Linked DNA regions of Mus musculus. The protein of the gene in region 1 binds, or shares a complex with, the protein of each later gene. Links are inferred from orthologs where the notes say so. Each region holds a gene or a part of one and is shown in the gene's direction. Other genes may lie near its edges. The genes, in order: Stx12 and Vti1a.

The links.
Region 2: the proteins of Stx12 (region 1) and Vti1a are in contact, whole or in part, in a crystal structure (PDB 2NPS), measured with the Rattus norvegicus proteins. The link is inferred for Mus musculus from reciprocal best matches to the Homo sapiens genes STX12 and VTI1A. Residues at the interface, in NP_075228.2 of Rattus norvegicus: Glu185, Ile188, Gln189, Leu191, Glu192, Ile195, Leu196, Val198, Asn199, Phe202, Lys203, Leu205, Ala206, Ile209, His210, Gly213, Ile216, Asp217, Glu220, Val223, Glu224, Ser226, Glu227, Val230, Glu231, Ala233, Ser234, Asp235, Leu237, Gln238; in XP_038945999.1 of Rattus norvegicus: Arg131, Arg134, Ser135, Arg138, Leu139, Ala141, Gly142, Ile145, Ala146, Glu148, Thr149, Ile152, Gly153, Met156, Asn159, Leu160, Asp163, Arg166, Arg169, Ala170, Arg173, Leu174, Glu176, Thr177, Asn180, Leu181, Lys183, Ser184, Ile187, Leu188.

The regions. Positions count from the first base shown.
Region 1 is NC_000070.6:132,878,094-132,888,211, reverse strand, and holds the start of Stx12 (syntaxin-12), read left to right. Parts: upstream 1-3,753; 5' UTR 3,754-3,846; coding exon 3,847-3,964; intron 3,965-10,118. UniProt on the Homo sapiens protein: SNARE promoting fusion of transport vesicles with target membranes. Together with SNARE STX6, promotes movement of vesicles from endosomes to the cell membrane, and may therefore function in the endocytic recycling pathway.
Region 2 is NC_000085.6:55,494,360-55,503,921, forward strand, and holds part of Vti1a (vesicle transport through interaction with t-SNAREs homolog 1A), read left to right. Parts: intron 1-4,151; coding exon 4,152-4,222; intron 4,223-4,883; coding exon 4,884-4,945; coding exon of another isoform or gene 4,946-4,949; exon of another isoform or gene 4,950-4,956; intron 4,957-7,967; coding exon of another isoform or gene 7,968-8,265; exon of another isoform or gene 8,266-8,311; intron 8,312-9,562. UniProt on the Homo sapiens protein: V-SNARE that mediates vesicle transport pathways through interactions with t-SNAREs on the target membrane. These interactions are proposed to mediate aspects of the specificity of vesicle trafficking and to promote fusion of the lipid bilayers.

The DNA.
Region 1 (10,118 bases):
AGATATAGAATTTCTTCTTCTCTTGCTCTTTGCATTAATGCCTTGAGACAGGCTCTCTCACTGATCTTTGGCTAAGCTGACTGAGTAATGAACTCTGGGGACCCACTCTATCTGTTCCCTAATGTCTGTTTGCAGGCCTGTGCAATGATGTCCAGCTTTTTAAAAATTTATTCATTTTATGTATATGAATGTTTTTGCCTACATGTGCACCATGTGTGTGCCTGCCTGATGCCTGAAGAGGCCAGAAGAGGGCATCAGATCTTAGAGTTGGTTTTGAACCAATACTTTATTTATTTTTAAAGATTTATTTATTTATTATATGTAAGTACACTGTAGCTGACTTCAGACACACCAGAAGAGGGCATCAGATCTCATTACAGATAGTTGTGAGCCACCATGTGGTTGCTGGAATTTGAACTCAGGACCTTTGGAAGAGCAGTCCGTGCTCTTAACCACTGAGCTATCTCTCCAGCCCAACACTTTATTTATTTACTTATTTAATGTATATGAGTACACTGTAGCTGTTTCAGGCACACCAGCAGAGGGCATTGGATCCCATGAAAGAGCCACCATGTGGTTGCTGGGAATTGAACTCAGGACCTCTGGAAAAGCAGTCAGTGCTCTTAACCCCTGAGCCATTTCTCTCCAGCCTGGTTTTGGGGTTTTCAAGTCATAGTTTCTTTGTGTGGCCCTGGCTGTTCTGGAACTCACTCTGAAGACCAGACTGGCCTCAAACTCTGAGATCTGCCTGCCTCTGTCTCCTGAGTGCTGGGATTAAAGACTTGTACTACTATTCCTGGCTCTTTGTTTTGGTTTGAGACAGGGTCTCACTGTGTATTCCTGGCTGGCCCAGAACTTGCTATGTAGTCTTGAATCACAGAGCTCTGCCTGTCTCTGTCTTTCAAGTGCTGGGATTAAAGTTGTGCGCCACCACTGTCCAGCCAAAATGCCATTACTTTTAATCCTGGCACTTGGGAGGCAGAGCAAAGAGGTAGGTAGATCTTTGAGTTCGAGGCCAGCTTGGTCTACAGAGTAAGTTCCAGGACAGCCAGGGTTACACAGAGAAACCCTGTTTGGAAAAACAAATAAAAAAGTAAACCAGACCAAAAATGTTTAAAGATAAAAATGGGGATGCTTCCTTACTGTGAAGTGTTTATGAATCAGTGACCTAAGGATTCACACACAGTATGTGCCCCCCAAATACGATATTACTTTATTGCTTAGTTAGGAGTGGAGGGAGAAATAAAAGTACTTTGAAACCCTTAAAATCACTGATTGGCTACAGACCTGAATGTCAAGGCTACTTAATTTTCCTATATTTGAGCCTGGGTTCTGAAAATAGAGCAGAATAGGAAGCAAGGGTTGGGGTGGTCTGGTACATTTTTATGCAAATCAAAATTTCTTGCACGATGTCATGGACTTTGGGGAGATACATGGCTAGGAAAACTTATCCAATGGGATCCCCAAATATTTCATTTCATTGTCCTGTCTAGCATGTCACAAACCTGGAGAGATCTGATATCTAAGTCACTATTTGTCTGGAATTAAAGCACTTGTAATGTGCTTGTTTGGAGAAGCCCTGAGCACTGAATGAAGGGACAGCCCTTCATGTTACTAACGTTAAAACTCTAAGTTGAAGCCGGGCAGTGGTGGCGCATGCCTTTAATCCCAGCACTTGGGAGGCAGAGGCAGGCGGATTTCTGAGTTCGAGGCCAGCCTGGTCTACAAAGTGAGTTCCAGGACAGCCAGGGCTATACAGAGAAACCCTGTCTAGAACACCCCCCCAAATAAAACAAGACACTAAATTGAGGCAGTGTTGATGATCTTAACACCCACTTCCCCCAAAGAGCTTGGCTTCCAGTATTCCAGTAGTGAGAACAGATAGGGTTTGATGTAGGCCCTTCCAAGGAGAATGGTGCCCCAATTTCCCCTAGGGTTTCCCCAAAGACAGCACCTGGAAGAGGCTTTTCTATCAGCAGGGGAGGACAGCATCGATTTTTTTTTTTAATTTTTAAATTTTATTTATTTAATGTATATATGAGTACACTGTAGCTATCTTCAGACACACCAGAAGAGAGCATCAGCTCTCATTATAGATGGTTGTGAGCCACCATGTGGTTGCTGGGAATTGAACTCAGAACGTATCGAAGAGCAGTCAGTGCTCTTAACCAGCACCAACAGCATCAATTTTACCACAGAGAACTTCCAACTCAGCAGCCTCTTTCTCCTGAGTTCTTCAAATGATTGGTAAGGCTTCGGTGAGAATGGTTTGTGGTGCTGGTTCATGGTGTAGCTTATACCATATGACCAGTGGCCAAACCCAAGATCTGCCCTAAAGCAGGTATTTGGGGGTTTGCAGTGGCAGTCTGCTTCCACCTGAGTGTCCCTGATCTCTCTGATGGGAGAATATACCTCTTCATCAATTACCTGGTACTTGAGTTTTTCATCCTTGAAAAGGCATAGTTTGGGGCTGGAGAAATGACTCTGCAGTTAAGAACACTGGCTGCTCTTCCAGAGGACACAGGTTCAATTCCCAGCATTCACATGGCAGCTCACAGCTCTCTGTAACTCCAGGTCCAGGGGCTCTGTCACCCTCACAGGTACAGGCAAAAGACCAATGAGCATAAAAATAAATAATTAAAAGAGAAAGCAAAGGAGCAGTTTATGCTGTCTATCTGGAGTTTTACCATAAACATGGCTTATATGTCCACTCCATGGCCCAGCCCTCTAGTGAATATATGTCCTTGTTTCTGGTCTGTCTTGAGATACTGGTGGGTGAATTGCTGGCCGAAGAATGTGAATATCATATTCGAGCCCTGGGGGTCAAGGATGAATTTTTTTCTTAGAATTTTCCCCATAATCTTTTGAATCAGAAACCCTCTTCTTCCCTTTCACAGGATGGGAGTCAGGCAGTCATCTGTTACAGGAGGAGAGGCTCTGATGTAGTAGGAGAGGTTGGAGAAGGGTGCCCAGTTTTCGTAGGTGTGGTGCACATTGTAAGTTGGTGGGCTGTCAATCAAATGCCATCTGGCTGGCAACATATCTCATGACTGAATTCCGCAGGAAGGGAATGGTTTTTATTTGTTTGGAGTGTGAGTGGGTTTTCCGAGACAGGGTTTCTCTATGTAACCTTGGCTGTCCTGGAACTCACCCTGTATACCAGCCTGACCTCAAAGGAAGGAAATGTTAATCAACAATGTCCCAGAATCCCTTGAAGTGGGTAAGCACGGGGCACACCGTATTGGCGGATGGTTTCAGTAGTAACTTTATTCTTGCTAGAAATTTAGGTGTTGAACAGTTTTCACCATCGAATCCTGTCGGGTACAACTGCACGTGTACTGGTCCCATTCCATGCTCATGCATTCACCTCGATTTTGACATGGGTTGGAAAAGCAAGAACTTGCTGGGTGCCTGAACAACAGTGCCGCGCGGAGCAGCAGGATGCGGGAGCGGCAGGATGCGGGAGCAGCAGGATGCGGATGAGCGTGTTGGCGGCCGGAAGGTCGTGGAATGCGGGGCGCGCCGTCTGTAGACGACAGGCTGAAGAAGTCCGGTCCTGTACTGGCTTCACAGCTGGAGGAGTCGGGTCTTGCGAGAACGCTCACCGCCAGCAGTTCGAAAACTCTCAAGAGACGACCCACCGCCAATTCCAGCCGCACACGCGCACTGCAGGATGGGGCGGAGCGCGCGCATGCGCACCGCGATGGGCGGGGGGTCAGTGCGCACGCAGTCGCGGTCCCTTCCCCGCCCTTTCTCTTCCCGGTTTTCCTCTCAGCTGCTGGGCCCGGTCAGTGGCAGCTTCCGGTAGGAGCGCCGCGAAGCGCGACCCGGTCTCTGCTCACTGTCATGTCCTACGGTCCCTTAGACATGTATCGGAACCCCGGGCCGTCGGGGCCTCAGCCCCGGGACTTCAACAGCATCATCCAGACATGCAGTGGCAACATCCAGCGGATCAGCCAAGCCAGTGAGCGAGGGGACCCAGCCGGGAGCTGGGGGCGGCCTGAGGGACAGACGGTGGTGAAGCTGCCAAGTCGGGGAGCCCGGTCTGGGTCGCAGCTCAGGCCACACCTTGAGGCCGTCGCGAGCCTCCACTCTGGGCGCGGCGAGCTGCCTTTCCCTGGGTCGGCCAGGCTCGGGCCCTTTAGGTCCACACCCCTGTCTTAGGCGGTTAGAGTTCACGGTGTTGGGGGTCAACAGAGCCGACAGCCCCGATGGTGGGAGGGAGTGTGTGTCATCTCCAGGACTGTGAGCAGCAGTCTTGACTTGGCGCAGTGGTCAGCCGAGTTTTTCCTGTCGTCGCCGTCCCCCTCTCCCCACCCACCTTGTTTTCCTCAGTTCCGATCAGGGGGTGCTTACTTGGTTGCGACTTTAGGTTCACATTCAGCTCAGCGGTTGGGTCCTCAGACATCAGCAACTTTCAATTAAGGGAAGTGGAGAATGCGTGCGTTCGAGTGACTTAATACACTGTGTTTCCTGTAATTAACCTGGACGTCAGTCAGTGCCTGGCATTTAAGGGACGGGAGGACTGCTGCTTTATGGCACAGAATGCACCGGGAACATTTTAGGTTAGGTTGTCTTTGTAGCGAACGTTTTTCCCATTTCAAGCATGAAGATGTCCTCTTCTGCCTCCGTTGAGAGCTACTCTTGGCCACAATTACACACCAAGTAAGAGATGGCAGGGTTGGGCCAAGTCAGTTTGTAACTGCTTACCTTAAAACTCCCTTCTGTAGCTAGAGTCAAGTACAGGCTGTTTTTGAGTTTCAGAATCATCCCAGAGCCCTGTAAACAGAACAACAGAAGCAATTTTACTTTAAAAATGGTGACAACCATCTGTGTTGTTTATTATTCTGTTTTTTTTTTTTTTTTTTTTTTTTGTGAGCTTAGCTATACTGTTAATAAGTAGAGTCAGTTCTGAATTGCAGTTATGTCCTAAGCTTTAAAGCATAAGCTACCACTGTGCTTTTATTTTCTTTTTGAGACAGTTTTTTTGTAGCTCTGACTATCCTGGAACTCACTCTGTGTACCAGGCTGGCTTCAAAATTAGAGATCCACCTGCCTCTGCCTCCCAAGTGCTGGGATTAACAATGTACGCCACCACACCCAGCTTGTCACTTTGCTTTTATATCTAAATGTATACTGTAGGATTTGAGAGGTAGAAAGTTTCAGGCAGGAAGGGTTAGGCCTGGGTGTATGGAGGTAGTACGAATACTCAGCTTGTTAACCCAGATATGAAAAACACAATAATAATTGATGACTAGACAGTATGGTACTTTGTGTCCCAGTTTCCTTTTGTTAAGGAGCTATAATACAGGATAAATCAGAAAATTCTTTTCAAGGGGCTGGCAAGATGGTTCAGGTAAAGTGCTTGCTGTGCAGGCCTGACCATCTGATTTGAGCCCCAGAACCCAGATGAACGTGGAAGGAGCAAATTAACTCCACAGAGCTGTACTCTGACCTCCACACTCAGCCACACTCGTTCCCTGGCACACACAATGTGTCTGTTTACATTAGTTCTATGTATGTTCCACATATCATACACACAAAAATAATAAAGAAAATTTTGTGCCAGGTGTTGGGGGCGGGGTCATGCCTTCAATTCCAGTACTTGAGAGGCAGAGGCAGGTAGATCTCAGAGTTTGAGAGGCTAGCCAGTTTACAGAGTTTCAGGACAGCCAGGGGCTACACAGAGAAACCTTGTTTTGAACCACCAGAAAGAAGAAAAGAAAGAGAGGAAAGAAAGAAAGAGAATTTGTGGGTTTTTTTTTTTTTTCTCATTGAGACTAACCTAATTTAAATGACTGTATGTGGAATATTTCATATTTGAGTATTAAGTTGTATAGTAAGCATAGGAACTGATACAGATTCTTTTAACTGCAAATCTGTGTTTACTTAAATCAAAATTAGAGTTGAAACTGGCCATAGTCGTACACGATAGCATTTGAGAGGCTGAGGCAGGAGGATTATCATGATTTAGAAGCAAATCTAGACTGCCTAGTGTGTTCAAGGTGATCCAGGGCCACATTGTGAGTCTGTTTTCAAAGGGAAAAAGGGAGAAAGGGAAGGAGGAACAGAGAAGGAGTTTAAAACCAGAGCCTGGGTGTGATGAGTCAGGTCTGTAACCCTAGCTCTCAGGAGGCCAAGGCAAGACAGTCTCCAGGTTCAAAGCCAGCCTGAGCTGTGAGTCTTAAAGCAAAACAACAACAAAAAAGGTGTCGGTGTGGTCTAGGAGCAGTTTCTTTGGTGATAGCTACTGATTTAGCCGTTGATTAGGCATTGGGGTCAAGGGGTTCCTTAGAGTCAATAGTTAATAATGTTACTAGCTACTGTTTAAGTACATCGTGTGCCAGGCCGTATGAAAAGTACTTTACATGTAATATTCTAATCTGTAACAATCCTGTGGAGTAATTACAAACATTCCCAGTCTATGAGCTAGGAAACAGACTGAGAAAGGCTAAAGGGTTGCCTAGCTGAGTGTGTGGGTTTTTTTCTCGCGATAAGATGAACATCTTCCCTGTTAGATTGTTAGCTTGCTTGAGGTAGGAAATACGATTCATTCATCCTTATTTTTCTGTCATTTATCTTAGTCCCAAGCATATGATGAGTTCTTCCGTTCAGCGTGCGACAAGCATTCTTTGAGCACTGATGTTCACTGGTGATGAGCAGAGAACACACTGCTGCCTGGCATTGTGTGGATCTTTGCATGTATTTCCCAATAATATCAAGTAATAGCAGGTGGTACGAAGGAAAGGGAACAGGCTAAGTCCATGGAGGGAAGCGAGAAGGGACGAATTATTATCCTCAGGTGAGGAAGGCCTCTCTGGGGAGATGATTTATTTTTTCCAAGACAGGGTTCTCTGTAGTCCTGGCTGTCCTGGAACTTGCTCTATAGACCAGGCTGTCCTCGAACTCAAAGATCCACCTGCCTCTGCCTCCTGAATGCTGGGATTCAAGCCTGCACCACCACTGCCTGGGTAGGATGATGTTGGAATGAGCAGATTTCAGAATGGAGGGAGCATGGTGAGTAGTGGAGAAAGGCAGTGTGTGCTGAGGGCAAATGCAAGGACTTTCATGTGACAAAGAATAGCAAGGAGGAAGGTGTGGCTGCGTTAAAGGTAGGGAGCAAATGGGGAAAGACATCAGAGAGGTAGCCAGGGGTCAGGGCACATGGAAGCTTACTAATTGTAGCCAGTTAATTTGAGTGAATGAGGTCTCTGTCATTTTATTTGTTTGGCTTGGTTTATTTTATTTTATTTTATTTTATTTTGAGATAGGGTGTCTCTGTAGCCCTGGCTGTCCTGGAACTTGCTCTGTAGACCAGGCTAGCTTCAGACTCTGCCTCTTAAGTGCTTTTTTGTTTTTGAGACAGGATCTCGCTGTGTAGTTCTGGCTGACTTGAACCTGACTATGAGACCAGGCTGGTCTGGAACTCACAGAGATTCACCTGCCTTGGCCTCCAGAGTGGTGGGACTAAAGGGGTGTGGCACTACACCAGGCTCTGCATTATTTACTGAAAAACTAAGAAACCTTTGAGTTTTTAACTGTTTGTAAACTAAGTTTGGGTTTTCCCTCAGCTTCCTGCTAGTTTTGTGATGTTTTGGTGAATTTTGCTTTACGCCTCCTGCTGTTTCCTGGTCTATGGTCATAATTATTTCATAGGGTTCTGAGAACTAACTGAGATAACTTATGTGAAGTGTTAAAAGAGTGTGCGCTTCAAGATGGGTTCCTGTAATCCTCACCTTTGGAAAGTGCAGGCAGGAGGTTGGAATTCAAGGCCAGCCTCAGCTACATAGCAAGTTTGAGACCAGCTTGGCTATGGGAGACCCTGTCTTAAAAAGACAGTGCCTACTACCTATTGAGTGAATACATAAAACATGTTATCTGTCATTTGGTTCTTTTTTCTTAAACATAACCAGTTTTTTTCTCACAGTTTAATATCTACTTATATTCTATATCCCTTAATTAAGACAAGCTTTTTGACCTTGTCCCTAGAGCAGTACTGGTTTGGTGGGATGAAGGACCATGCATTATACATTTCTCTTTAGACAGTGCCTGGCACAGCAGTGGATGCTTTGGCATTCAGTATGTACTTAATTGATTTTATCATTGCTAAGTACATTCTTCTTGGTCTTGAGTTTGATAATAATAGCTGTCCTTAGTTGAGTGCTTTTATGTGGCAGACGGCTTTCTAAACTTAGCCCAAATCATCTCATTTCATTCTCACATCAACCAACCGAAGCTTCCCTTGTTACTGTCATTCCTTAGGTGTGGAACCAGGACAGAAGACGGTCATCATTTACTTTAGATCACTCCGCTGGGAAGTGCTGGAAGCAACAGTCAGGCATAGGCAGGCCTGCTGATCATGTGCTCCACACCCGTGATTCTGTCCCTTGAGAGGCAGAGTCAGGGGAATCACATGGAGTTCAAGGGCAGCCTGGGCAAAACGGCAAGTTCTGGGATACTCTAGCCTACATAGAGAGTTCCAGGCTATGCAGGGCTACATATGGAGAGAGAACCTGTCTTAAAAACAAGAACACAGTCTCAATTCAGAACCCGTGTTCTTAACAGCCACATGTGCTGTCACTCTTGTGCAAAGTGGGAGATTACGCCTTTGGTTGTTAGTATACAGATTTACTATCCTGTTTAGTGACTGAATTTTTGGGGTGTGTGTGTGTGTGTGTGTGTGTGTGTGTAATAAAAGGTCTCATGTAACCTTTAACTCCTGACCTTCTTGTCTCTGACTCTCAAGTGCTGAAGATATGTACTATATCACTCCTGACAAACCCATTTTCAAAAGTTAAATCCCAGCCTTCAAGAGACTGAGGCAAGAGGATCAGGAGTTTGAGTCTAGCCCATCAGGAAATGGAAATAACTTGTTCAATTTATAGAGACTCTATCTTTATAATGGGGGCTGGGGATGTAGCTCAGTCTCAATAAATATGTGTATCTGTGATGCCTATAGTAGGTAGTTTTTACAATTTCTATGTAATATCATTGTTTAAGCCTAATTTTGTGTATAGAACATTGAATTGACTTCATTTTCAAAATCAGTGCAAAGACCTTGTTTGGTCTAGATAGTTTTTTTAGGTCTGTGGATTTCCTTTATCTTATCTTTTTATTTATTTATTTATTTATTTATTTGTTGGTTTGGTTTTTTTGAGAGAGGTTTTCACTATGTGTTCTTGGTTGGCTGAAAACTATAGAGTTTTGGCTGCCTCTGCCTCTTGAGTGCTGGGATTAAACCACATGCTATCACACATGGCCTTGTTTTATGTTTTAGTGCAAGTAATGCTTTTTATATTAAATATGTTTGTTTATGAGTGTTTGCCTGTGTGTATGTATGTGTTCTGCATGCATGCCTGGTACCCTCATAGGTCAGAAGATGGACTGTTGTTAGTAGGTGGTTGTTAGCAGACATGTGTGCTTGGAATCAAATCCAGGTCCCTTGCAAGAACAGCATGTTTTGAGTGTATTGAATTAGAGCATTAGATTGTCTCAAAGAGAATTATTGTCCAATCTGTGTGACGGAAAGTTACTTTCAATGTGATTAAATAGGTTTGGACCGTAGTTTGTGGGGGAGATTTAGATTTTGCTGATATCTATTAAAAGCAGGTAAGAAGTTGAAGTTAGAATTATTCTTGGTGTTGATGTTAGTGATAGTGTACAATAATCGACTTACTTCATGGTCTTTTTAAAAAGAGCTTTAGCCAGGACACACCTTTAAAGGAGGAGGTCAGTGATAGGAGAGGCTAAGGGCTAGTGGGTTCGCTTTTGGTTTGGTTTGGTTTGGTTTGGTTTTTCCCAATCTCTGTAGATATCTGAGATTGCCTAGAACAGATCCTTCTTGCCTTTATGTACTAAGTGCTGGGATGACAGGCTTGTGCCACCATGCTAGACCTAGGCATAGGTACAAAATTGACAAAATTGCTTACACATAACAGAAGGGGTTGTCTTCTAATATTAGGAGATACTCAATTGTCTTTATGTAAGATATTTTAAAATTTATTTTATGTGCATGGACATTTACCTGTATGTATATGTACCATACCTGAAGAGACCAAAGAAGGTCGGGTGTTGGGTCCCCTGGAACTGGAGTTAAAGACAGTTGTGTGTTGTCATGG
Region 2 (9,562 bases), on another chromosome or scaffold:
CACGTGCTGGAATTCCATTGTGCCCCTTAGAGTTTCCTCTTACCTCCTAAAGACCCATTTCTTCTCCATTCACCTCCAAAACTCTGTCTGGTAACCCTGTCAGCTGACTAAGGTCTGTTGGAGCGCTTGTATCCGTGACATTTTCTCTGAACTCTTCTCTCTTTCCTGCCTTTTGCATGTCTTGTACATGAAGCTGTATGGGTTCTGGTGTGGAAATTGCTGAGTGTGCTTGCCTCTTCAGCATCATGCTGTGCTGTGCCTGGACCATGGCTCAGTTAGAGTCTTCCAGAAACCAAGCTGAGGGGCTGCTGAGCTGCAGGCTTTATCTGTGGCTGCGAGATTCCTGACCTGTGCTGCCGATGCAGCTTTAAGAGACAAGATGGCTCTCCAGGCATGGTGGTGTGCACCTGTAATCACAGCTCTGAGGGGCTGAGCATGGGTTAAGCTGTAGTTTCAGGTGTGTTGTGGCCACACCAAGACAGGCTTGTCTCTAATAGTGTGTTGAATACAAGCAATATAAGGAAATGTGGGAATTCTCTTTCAGTCTGGCCTCCTTCATTGTTTCTTTCTTGGTGCATATAAGTATTGAGGGAGAATTATCAGATCAAGCAGCTTAAACTGCTGTGTAGTGCTCAGCTATGCCATGTGCTGTGCTCTGAAAGTCTGTGTGGTCATGCAATCTGCCTGGTTTCCCTCCTGTCCATAGCAGCAGTACTCAGAGTAAGCAATTTACCCTAGCGAGGAGTTACTCACACTCTCCTGTACGAAAGAAAGGCTTAGATCTCTAGAACTCATCAAAGCTTTACTGCATCTCCTGTACTTGTCTTCCTTCCAGAAGGTTAGCAATTCTTGTGTCTGGTTTTTCTTCTTTCCCTGGAGGTTGTCCTGAATTCGAGCACTTCCTCCATCTCAGTAGAAGCCAAAGCCCCTCATGTCTTAAGTCTCAAATGACGAGAGATGGTTAAAAAGAAAAAAAGAAAAAGAAAACCAAAACAAACAAACAAACAAACAAACCCTGTCTTTATGTAAACCACCTTCCCTGAGTCAGGAACTCTAAAGAGTCTTCAGTACTGAGTGTAACCCTTAAGTCTGGGGCACAGGACCAGACCCATTGTCCAAGGACACATTCCAAATGACAGAGAGACAGATCTGGAAGGCTGTGTTCACCCCTCTAACTGCAGCTTTCCAAAACAGCATGCTGTCTCCCCCATGTTAGACTCAGTAGCCAGAAGTTTCCCAGTCACCTGTCCCGAATTGAGATTGTTGGTATAAATACCATGCAGTCACCGACTGTGCAGTCTCTCTCTCCAGTCCGTGAAGCACGCGTTTCACCATAGCTGGAGACAGCTCTGCTGCGCGTTTCTGTACATACGTGCCCACAGATGTAAGTAACAGCTGGGGCATTGTGGATGCCTCTCACTGCTCCTGGATTGCTAGTGGAGTTTTCAAGTGTCAGGAAATAACCTTGTCTCCTCTGGGCAATTGAAAGAAGACTTTAACTGGCTTCCTTCACTTTTAAAAATAATTTTCTGGAAACCACATCCTTAACGAAGGTTGTAAAAATAAAGTTAAGTACAGTTGTGCTTGGGAATAATCAGTACCTTCTGGAGAATGTACGGCTCATAGCATAATGGCTCAAATTGAAAAATATATATATATATTGAACTTATCAGATGGAACATACTGTGCTGAATTAGATCCGAGGCACCGTTTTCTTCAGCTACATTTGTAGCGTGATGTTAACTTGAGTCACGCCTAACTGTTCCTGGAGAATATTCTGATTCATCCCTTTCTGAAGTTCAGATCTAGTTTCTTCCATGGGCTCACTTGTGTTTGCCTCATGATGGATGAACACAGCCTGTCAAATGTTTTTATCACTTCATGAAGGAAGAGACATGATGCTCTCTGAGATAGGCACTGCTCCGTCCAGATCTTATCTACAAGGAGATGCCAGGCTGGTCCTGCAGGAAGCGTCTTGCTGGATTTGTGGTTACCTATTTCCTTCTTAGTTCCGACCAGAGACAGGAAAGCATTGAATGCCTATTGTATACTCTGCAAAGGGATGAAGAGGAGACGCAGTGCTGCCAAAGGCCCCTCGCAAGGGCCGTGGCCTGACTCCATGATTGATTCTGAGTAATTGTAAAGACAATTCATTTTACATGTCTGAGAGCTGTATTCCCGGGATGAGTCCCAGGACCTCTGTGGAGAGGATGGAAGGACAGGAAGGAAGTCTTCCTTCCAGGAATTCATTCATCACGTTGTGCTGACATGCAGAGCTGCAGCATGCCGAAATCGGTTTTATTGTGTGCTTCCCATTGTTTCCTAACCTCAAGATGTTTAATGGTCAGAACGATGCTATTTATGAAGTGTACATGTCTTAAACTGCACCGTAAGTGCATTGCAGCTGTTCATACCAAAGACCTCAAGACAATTTAAGGAACTAAGGAGTGTAGACGTGGCATGTCACAGTTGCCATGGTTTCAGGTCTGTGCACTTGAATTCTTTCTTTCAAATAATATTTATTAGCTTTATTTTATGTGTGCAACTATTCTGTCCGTATGCAAGTCTGTGCACCACATGCAAGCCGGGTGCCTTCAGATTCATGGGACAGGTTACAGATAGACAGCTGTGCTGGAAGCAAATGACTGTGTTAAAAGCAATCTCCTCTGGTTTGCTTTGTTTGACACACAAGTTTTGCTCTCTTTGTGTCTGTTTTGTCCATAAGAGTTATCATTTCTAATCTACCTGCCTGGAATTTTCTCTACTGATGTATTAAAATATAAGCTAGCAGCTAAGAAATCACATCCCACCCAGGAAGCAAGGAGTTTGTGGGTGTGGCTTATGACTCCAGGAACATCCCTGACTCTTGACCTCCTAGTCCACTCGTTGCTTGAGTAGAGGACTATAGATCAGTTCAGAGTGGAGTTTTCCCCTGGAGAACCTGGTGGGCTCGAGGCTCCTACACCTGCTTTCCAGCATCACCTTCTCCAGGGCTGTGCGGAAGAGCCTGAGCAGGAACTGGAAACCTTGCTGGGACTTAATCTTTTTTTAATCTCATTCTTTCATTTCTTCCATAAATACTGACTGAGGTGTTAGACACAGTATCAGAAACCTCTTCCATTTGAAATCATGTATTCTTATATGGTCTGCTTTGATAGGAAGTATTAGTGTTTTCCTGAAATAATGATTTGTGGTGCTCATAATGTACCATAGAGTAACGTGCAGAACATGAGCTAGGAAGGCGTTCTCGGGCATGACGGGGTGACGGGTGCGTGTGCAGCAGTGCATCCGAGCATTGTTCTGGCACCCGATCCTGATGAAGGCAAGTCCAAGTTCTTTCTCCGTAAGATAGGCACCTCCTGGTGACAGCGAATGAGACTGGGGGAAGGAAATCATTCAAAAAGCTGTCTATACGTAAGATCAGGTCTTACGTAGTGTTTGTTAAATATCTGTAGTCACAGCAGAGCCTGCCAAGGGCCATCCGAGCATCTGAGACATGGTGACAGGGGAAATCCCCGTTGCAGGCAGCAGCATGGCTTTAACAAACGCTAAGTGGTGTTTGGGTCTAAGAATTTGGAAGTTGAACTGTCCCTCACCTGATTTGACTCAAGAATCTACAGCAGCGAATAGAACATAAAAGGGCTCTTGCCTCCAGGAGAAAATGCTGGAGGTGAGAAAAGTTAAGAGTCCCATGCATTGAAATCACAGTTTTTCTAAATGGATATCGACTTACATTGGTAAGCAGTGCCGTAAGGGAGAACAGGACCCCTCCGAGTTACTCTCAGAGTGTAAAATCCAAGGCTGTACTCCTCCGTGATGAAGTACTTAATCATTACACCTAGGCCCTCCATCTTGCTAGGAATTTCCTGGAGTGGCCTTGGACAAGTCGCATTACCCCTAAGTCATTGATGCCACATGGGCTACAGTCTGCTTGTTGGATTTTTTTAAATCGCACCCAGTCATCCACAAGATGGGAAATTTATCAGATACTGTATTTTTCAAATACATTAGTTAAAACATATCTGGTATGTAAGGCACACCCCTTTATTTGGTTCTATATCTGTGATCGTCCTAGTACTTTGGGGGGTATATTGAGTGCTCTCCATGCACCCCAAGGTGCCATTCTTTACATTTTCTCTTCTTTTCCATAGAGCAAATCGGCCAAGAGATGTTGGAAAACCTGAGTCATGACAGAGAAAAGATACAGCGGGCACGTGACCGAGTGAGTATACATCATCCCGCCATTTACACGTTCATAAATGAGAAGGCATGGATAAGAGGCTGTTGGGACGGACACAAGACAGTGACAGCATAGCCATGAGGATGTGTGTGTAAGGACAGTCAGGTAGGTAGGTGGCCATGTGGAAGAAGAGAAAGCAAGGGCTTGGGATGAAGGGAAAAGCAGCTGGCTCTCTCCTCATCTCCGAAGGCCCCCAAGTAAATATTTAAATAACTCTGTGACTACAGAAAGGAAGCCACTGGGGGAGAGTTTGGAGTGTATCAATCTTTCAAAGAACAGAGATTTTGTTCTGAAACTGGCCCTCACCTTCCTCGGCTTCATTCAGTTTCCATTTCTACTTTTAAGACTGTGCATACTCATATTAAAAATTAATCACCACAGGTATGGTGAGCCCTGTCTGTGTGTGAGGCACTCGTTTTTAAATCTGGCTCAAGCATCCACCGTCAAGCTCCTGGAAGCCCTCCTAGAGCTCTTTAGTCTCTGGAGCTGAGAGTCTGTGTGTGTGTGTGTGTGTGTGTGTGTGTGTGTGTGTGTGTGTGTGTCACTGCTTGGCTTTCTCCTGTGGAGCTGTGACCCTTCAGCAGATGCCTGAGAATCATCTAACTCCATTTTCCTCTGCTTCCACCATGCTGCCCTCACGCAGCTCCGGGACGCAGATGCAAACCTGGGGAAGAGCTCTCGGATTCTGACGGGGATGCTGCGAAGGTAAGAGCCAGGTAGGGAGCGATCGTCTGTTTCCCTCTCTTCTTAACTGTGTTTTCTTCCTTCCCTGGGGCTGAGCCAGCTGCTGGGATCCCGCCTCTCCCTCCTTGGCTGGGTCAACACCCTCTCCAAATAACAGAGCACTGATGTTAACCCTTTCTTGTCAGAGACATATAATGGGTTACTCAGATTAGAGACAAGCTTGAGCTGAGGGGCCTACCTCAAGCTATGGAAAAAATTAGGGTTAGACAAGAAGCATTTTTTTATAGCCTGAGGAAGGCCCATGGCAAGAGCATGCCGACTTTCCTCTCACTTCTGACGGCGGAAGTGCGGGCCTGCCATCACCCGGAGAACACTAGGTACCGGTTCTGCTCTTTGTTTCATTGCTGAGAAGGCTGCTTGGGAAACAGTGTGGTGACTCAGGTCGATACTTAACATTGATAAGAATGCCGCAGGTATCAGAGTAAGCTCAATCCATTGGGCCCACAACAAATATTTTAAGCACTGCTTGTGTAACTAAGCTTTGGTTGATGGAAAATATTCGGATAATTTAAAATGGTAAATGAATAAAGATAGGTCATAGCCTAAGTCTGTTCCGCTCTTACTTTACACCAATGCTCTGAAGAGTAAAAGGATGGTTTACCATGGTCATGCGAGCGTGGAACTCTGAGTGGCTAGGTGGACGCGGAGTGTTGTGAGGGAGCGGAGGAATAGCCAACCCTTCTTTTCAGACAGCTGTATGGCACAGCTGAAGCCCTCTCTGCTTGTTGTACATCCATGTATAGCAACATGCTAAAGCTGTTTGCAATGCTAAAGGTTCACGGTGTAAGACCCAAATAAGTGTAGAATTGTTACTTGTTGGGGCTGATGTGATTTCTCCATGACACCATCAGTGGTGAACCTGCAGTTCCCAGCGTGATACCAACCGAGCTGCTTCCCACCCTTTCCTTTCGCTGGAAGCACCATCCCAACTCAGACAAAAACCTGCAGGGCCCTGCTTTAAGAGCAGTGCATAAGTGACCTAAGAAAGACTAAGAGTCCAAAGAGAAGAGCACTAGCAACTGAAGGAATGCATCAGTGCCTAGAGACAATAAAAAGAAAGAAAGCTGTGCCTCCTGCTTCCCTTGGAGGCCCCTGCGATATGAGCTGTAACGAGCCTTCTGCATATGTCTCCATTTTGTCAAATCTCATTAAAGAGTCCTCCTGCTTTCTGTCGATTGAGCTGTCCAGAAATCATTCATCATTTTTAGTGTAAAAAAAAAATCATGTGGTTATTTAAATAATATCATATTAATGTTAAAGTTCAGCTGTCACTTCATGGTATGGCTTAATCAGATGTAGCATTTAGGAAAAATAGTTTATTCTGGCTCTTCGTGGCTTTCAGGTTGGCAGATTCAAATAAGGATTTATGGCTTTCTAAACCCATGTGCTTCTGCCCATGTTTCTGCTTGATGTACCTCACCCTTGGTACAGGACAGTGCAGACAGTTGTCTCAACAGATAGAGCATCCTTTCATATGGTGTTTGAATAAATTTGCAAGTCATTTAGAGCGGGTAGGAGCACCAACAATCTGCACCCATTGGGCTTTCTGGAGGGGAATCACACCCCCAAGGTGGCTTCCTGAGGGCTGCCAGCTACTTGGGCTTCCCTTTGTAAGCAAATGCAGCTCTCCACTTTGTCACCTCCTTTTGGAATGTGTCCTTTCTCAACCTCTCAGTCATGACCCCTTTGAGGGTAACATATCAGATATCCTATATATCAGATATTTATGCTATAATTCATAATAGTAGCAAAATCACAGATATGAAGCATAAAAGTATATAATTTAATGGTGGGGGGGGGGGAGTAAGTCTCTCAGGATATGGGCCCAGTGGTCATTTGCGGACCACAGTCTTTCTACCTCAGGCCCTTGCTGATTGATGTCTGTCCTCCCTCCCATCCCCCGGTTCACATCGCAGTCGCTGCCCAGCACCGAGGGAGGGAATTGCAGAACCCACCCTGGACACTCCTTGTCCACACTAACACTGCACATCACAGCCACATCGAGTAGCAACAGGTGCTTGTGACTGAGGGGGGAGGCTGGTATTAAACCCTGGGCTCACAGTTCATCTTCACAGATGTGTGAAGGAAGAGAATGTCTTTGATCATGCATTTACCTATGAATGAATAAACCCATTAATTTTTAATATGGTAAATTCTGTGAAACAAACACAAATACAAACCAGAGAATTCTAATAAAGAAAAGTTCCTGGTTGCTTCAATTTTTGTTTTTAAAATTGTACAATGAACAGAGATGACAGGGCATCATCCATAATCGGTGCCAGGTTGCTTAGCAATGGCTAATCAATCAGTCATGAAGTCAGGAGGACCCATGTTCATCTTTACCAAAGTCTGTACCTGTGTCTACTTAGTCATATATGAGAGCGACCAAATAGTAAGCGGCGTTTATAGGACCCGGAGCCTCTGACCCACCCCACCCATGCCTCCCGGTCTTCTGTTAGCTTCCTTCCTCCCTTGTGTACCTCTCTTTCCTCTCCCCTCTCCCCTGCTTACTCGTGTCTTCAGTAAATATTTAATGTCTGTGTGAGCCCAGGGACCAGGAAATACAAACACATCTTTCTTTGCTTTTATGGTGCTTCAGTGTACAGAGAATATGTACACCATAGAAATTAACTCATTCTCAGGGAAAGTGCTTCAGCCCTCCACCTCTGACTCTTCCTTGCAGATTCCCAAGAGACTCCAGAAGCACCAACAGCCAGAAAAAGATAAATTAGGGAAATAGAATATGGTGTGTTTAATCATAAACTAAAAATGTTATGCAGAAAAGGATTGCCATGTCTCGTTTAGTGAACTAGCAACTGGTCCAGTCAAACAGAAACTTTCTTTCATGTAGCTACACCGTCTTGTCAAAGGAAGAAAAGAAGGGAGAAAACTGTTCCATTCAGAATTATAATAGTAAAACATGACATCAGAGTGAAGCCATAGCTGATTCCTGGAAAGTCATTTTTCTTCTCTCTTGACATAGATGGAAAGCTACCTCGGGACAGCCTGTTCGTTTCCTGGCCTCTAGACAGACTTTAAATAAAGTGGATTCAGATAACAATGAAAATAGCCACAAAACAAATAGCCATTCATGTGATAACTGGGGCCGAGGAATGGATTTCTCATTGAGCCTCACAAAATTCCATCATTGTAATTGGTTTTTCTCAGGTGGGTATCACTGGGGGCCCAGGTGTTTCTTCCTGTGTGTAAACGCCATGTGCGTGCTAGCAAGCATGTATGTTTTATGCATCTTACTAGAAATCCTTTCTTTTCTTTTTTAACTTGGATTCTTTTTGCTGTTACTGTTGTTTTTCAGGACAGGGTTTCTCTGTGTAGCCCTGGCTGTCCTAGTACTCACTCTGTAGACCAGGCTGGCCTTGAACTGAAAGATCTGTCTCCCTCTGCCTTCTGAGTGCTGGAATTAAAGGCGTGTGCCACCACCACCTGTATCTGGGATTCTTATCATATCAAATACTGGTGAGAATCAATAATAATATGAGATTTTTCAGGACTTTTATTTAAAAAGAAAGGAAGTTATGATTCTGTTTCTTTTACCTCTGAAGAAGTAGATAATAATTCATAACTTGTCATTACTAAAATCTTTTCAAGAAAAACCTGTATTCCTATAGAATGTAGCAGAAGTGTAGTCTGGGAGCTCCTTTAGCGTGAAGTTGGAAGACATGTTACAACTGTAATTGCCAGCTGCATCATCTGTGCGAGTGTCTGGGTTACAGCAGGAAGTAGCTTCCATTTGATGAGCTCAGTGTCATAGACTTTGACAATGGCTGCCATACATACAATCAGAGTGCTCCCATTAACAGTGAGCTCTGTCTCCCAGTGGCTTATAGGACCTCCTTTCACAGGGCCTTGGCAGTGCATCTTCTACAGCTGACCTATGAAAGACCAAAGGACTATTGCAAATGCAGGGGCCCTGCAGCACTGTTTGTCATATATTGCTGAGTGTGCCTGTCAAGTGACATGAGCCCGGGGAACACCAGCACCTATCCTTACAATCACAGTTTATGTCTACACATTGTCTGCTTGTGTAGGTAAAATGACAGACAAAACCGCCAACGTGCAGGCAGACAATTCGTAAGGGTAGGTGTGAGATCAGTCTACTGCAGACACTTGGTTTTCAGAGCAGACAGACTTATTTTACATAGGCCATGGCTAGATGTTTATGCTGCTGTAGAAGGTGACTCTTCCTTGACCTTAGTCCACAGCAAACCCTGTGCTGTGTTCTCGGCGATCTTGTCGTATCTGAGACTCAGCAGGGCTTTCAGGGCAGTAAGGGAGGGGCCGTGGGAATGTGCTCCTGGGTCTCGCGCACCAGAGGAGCCGCTTCTCCCGAGTGGATCCCTCTCTTCTCTCTCACTGTCACCCTCCATTCCCTAAGTGGTGACAGGTGTACCCTGACATGGACAGGATCTCAAGTGTTTCAGCCTGGAGTTTCTCCAGCGCCCCCCCCCCCCCAACTGTTCCTCCTCCAACTAAAAGCACTGCACTGCTGCTCATTCTCAGGCTTCGAGGTGGGACCTGGGCTAGGTGCATGCAGCCACCAGAAGGGGACGCTTCTGT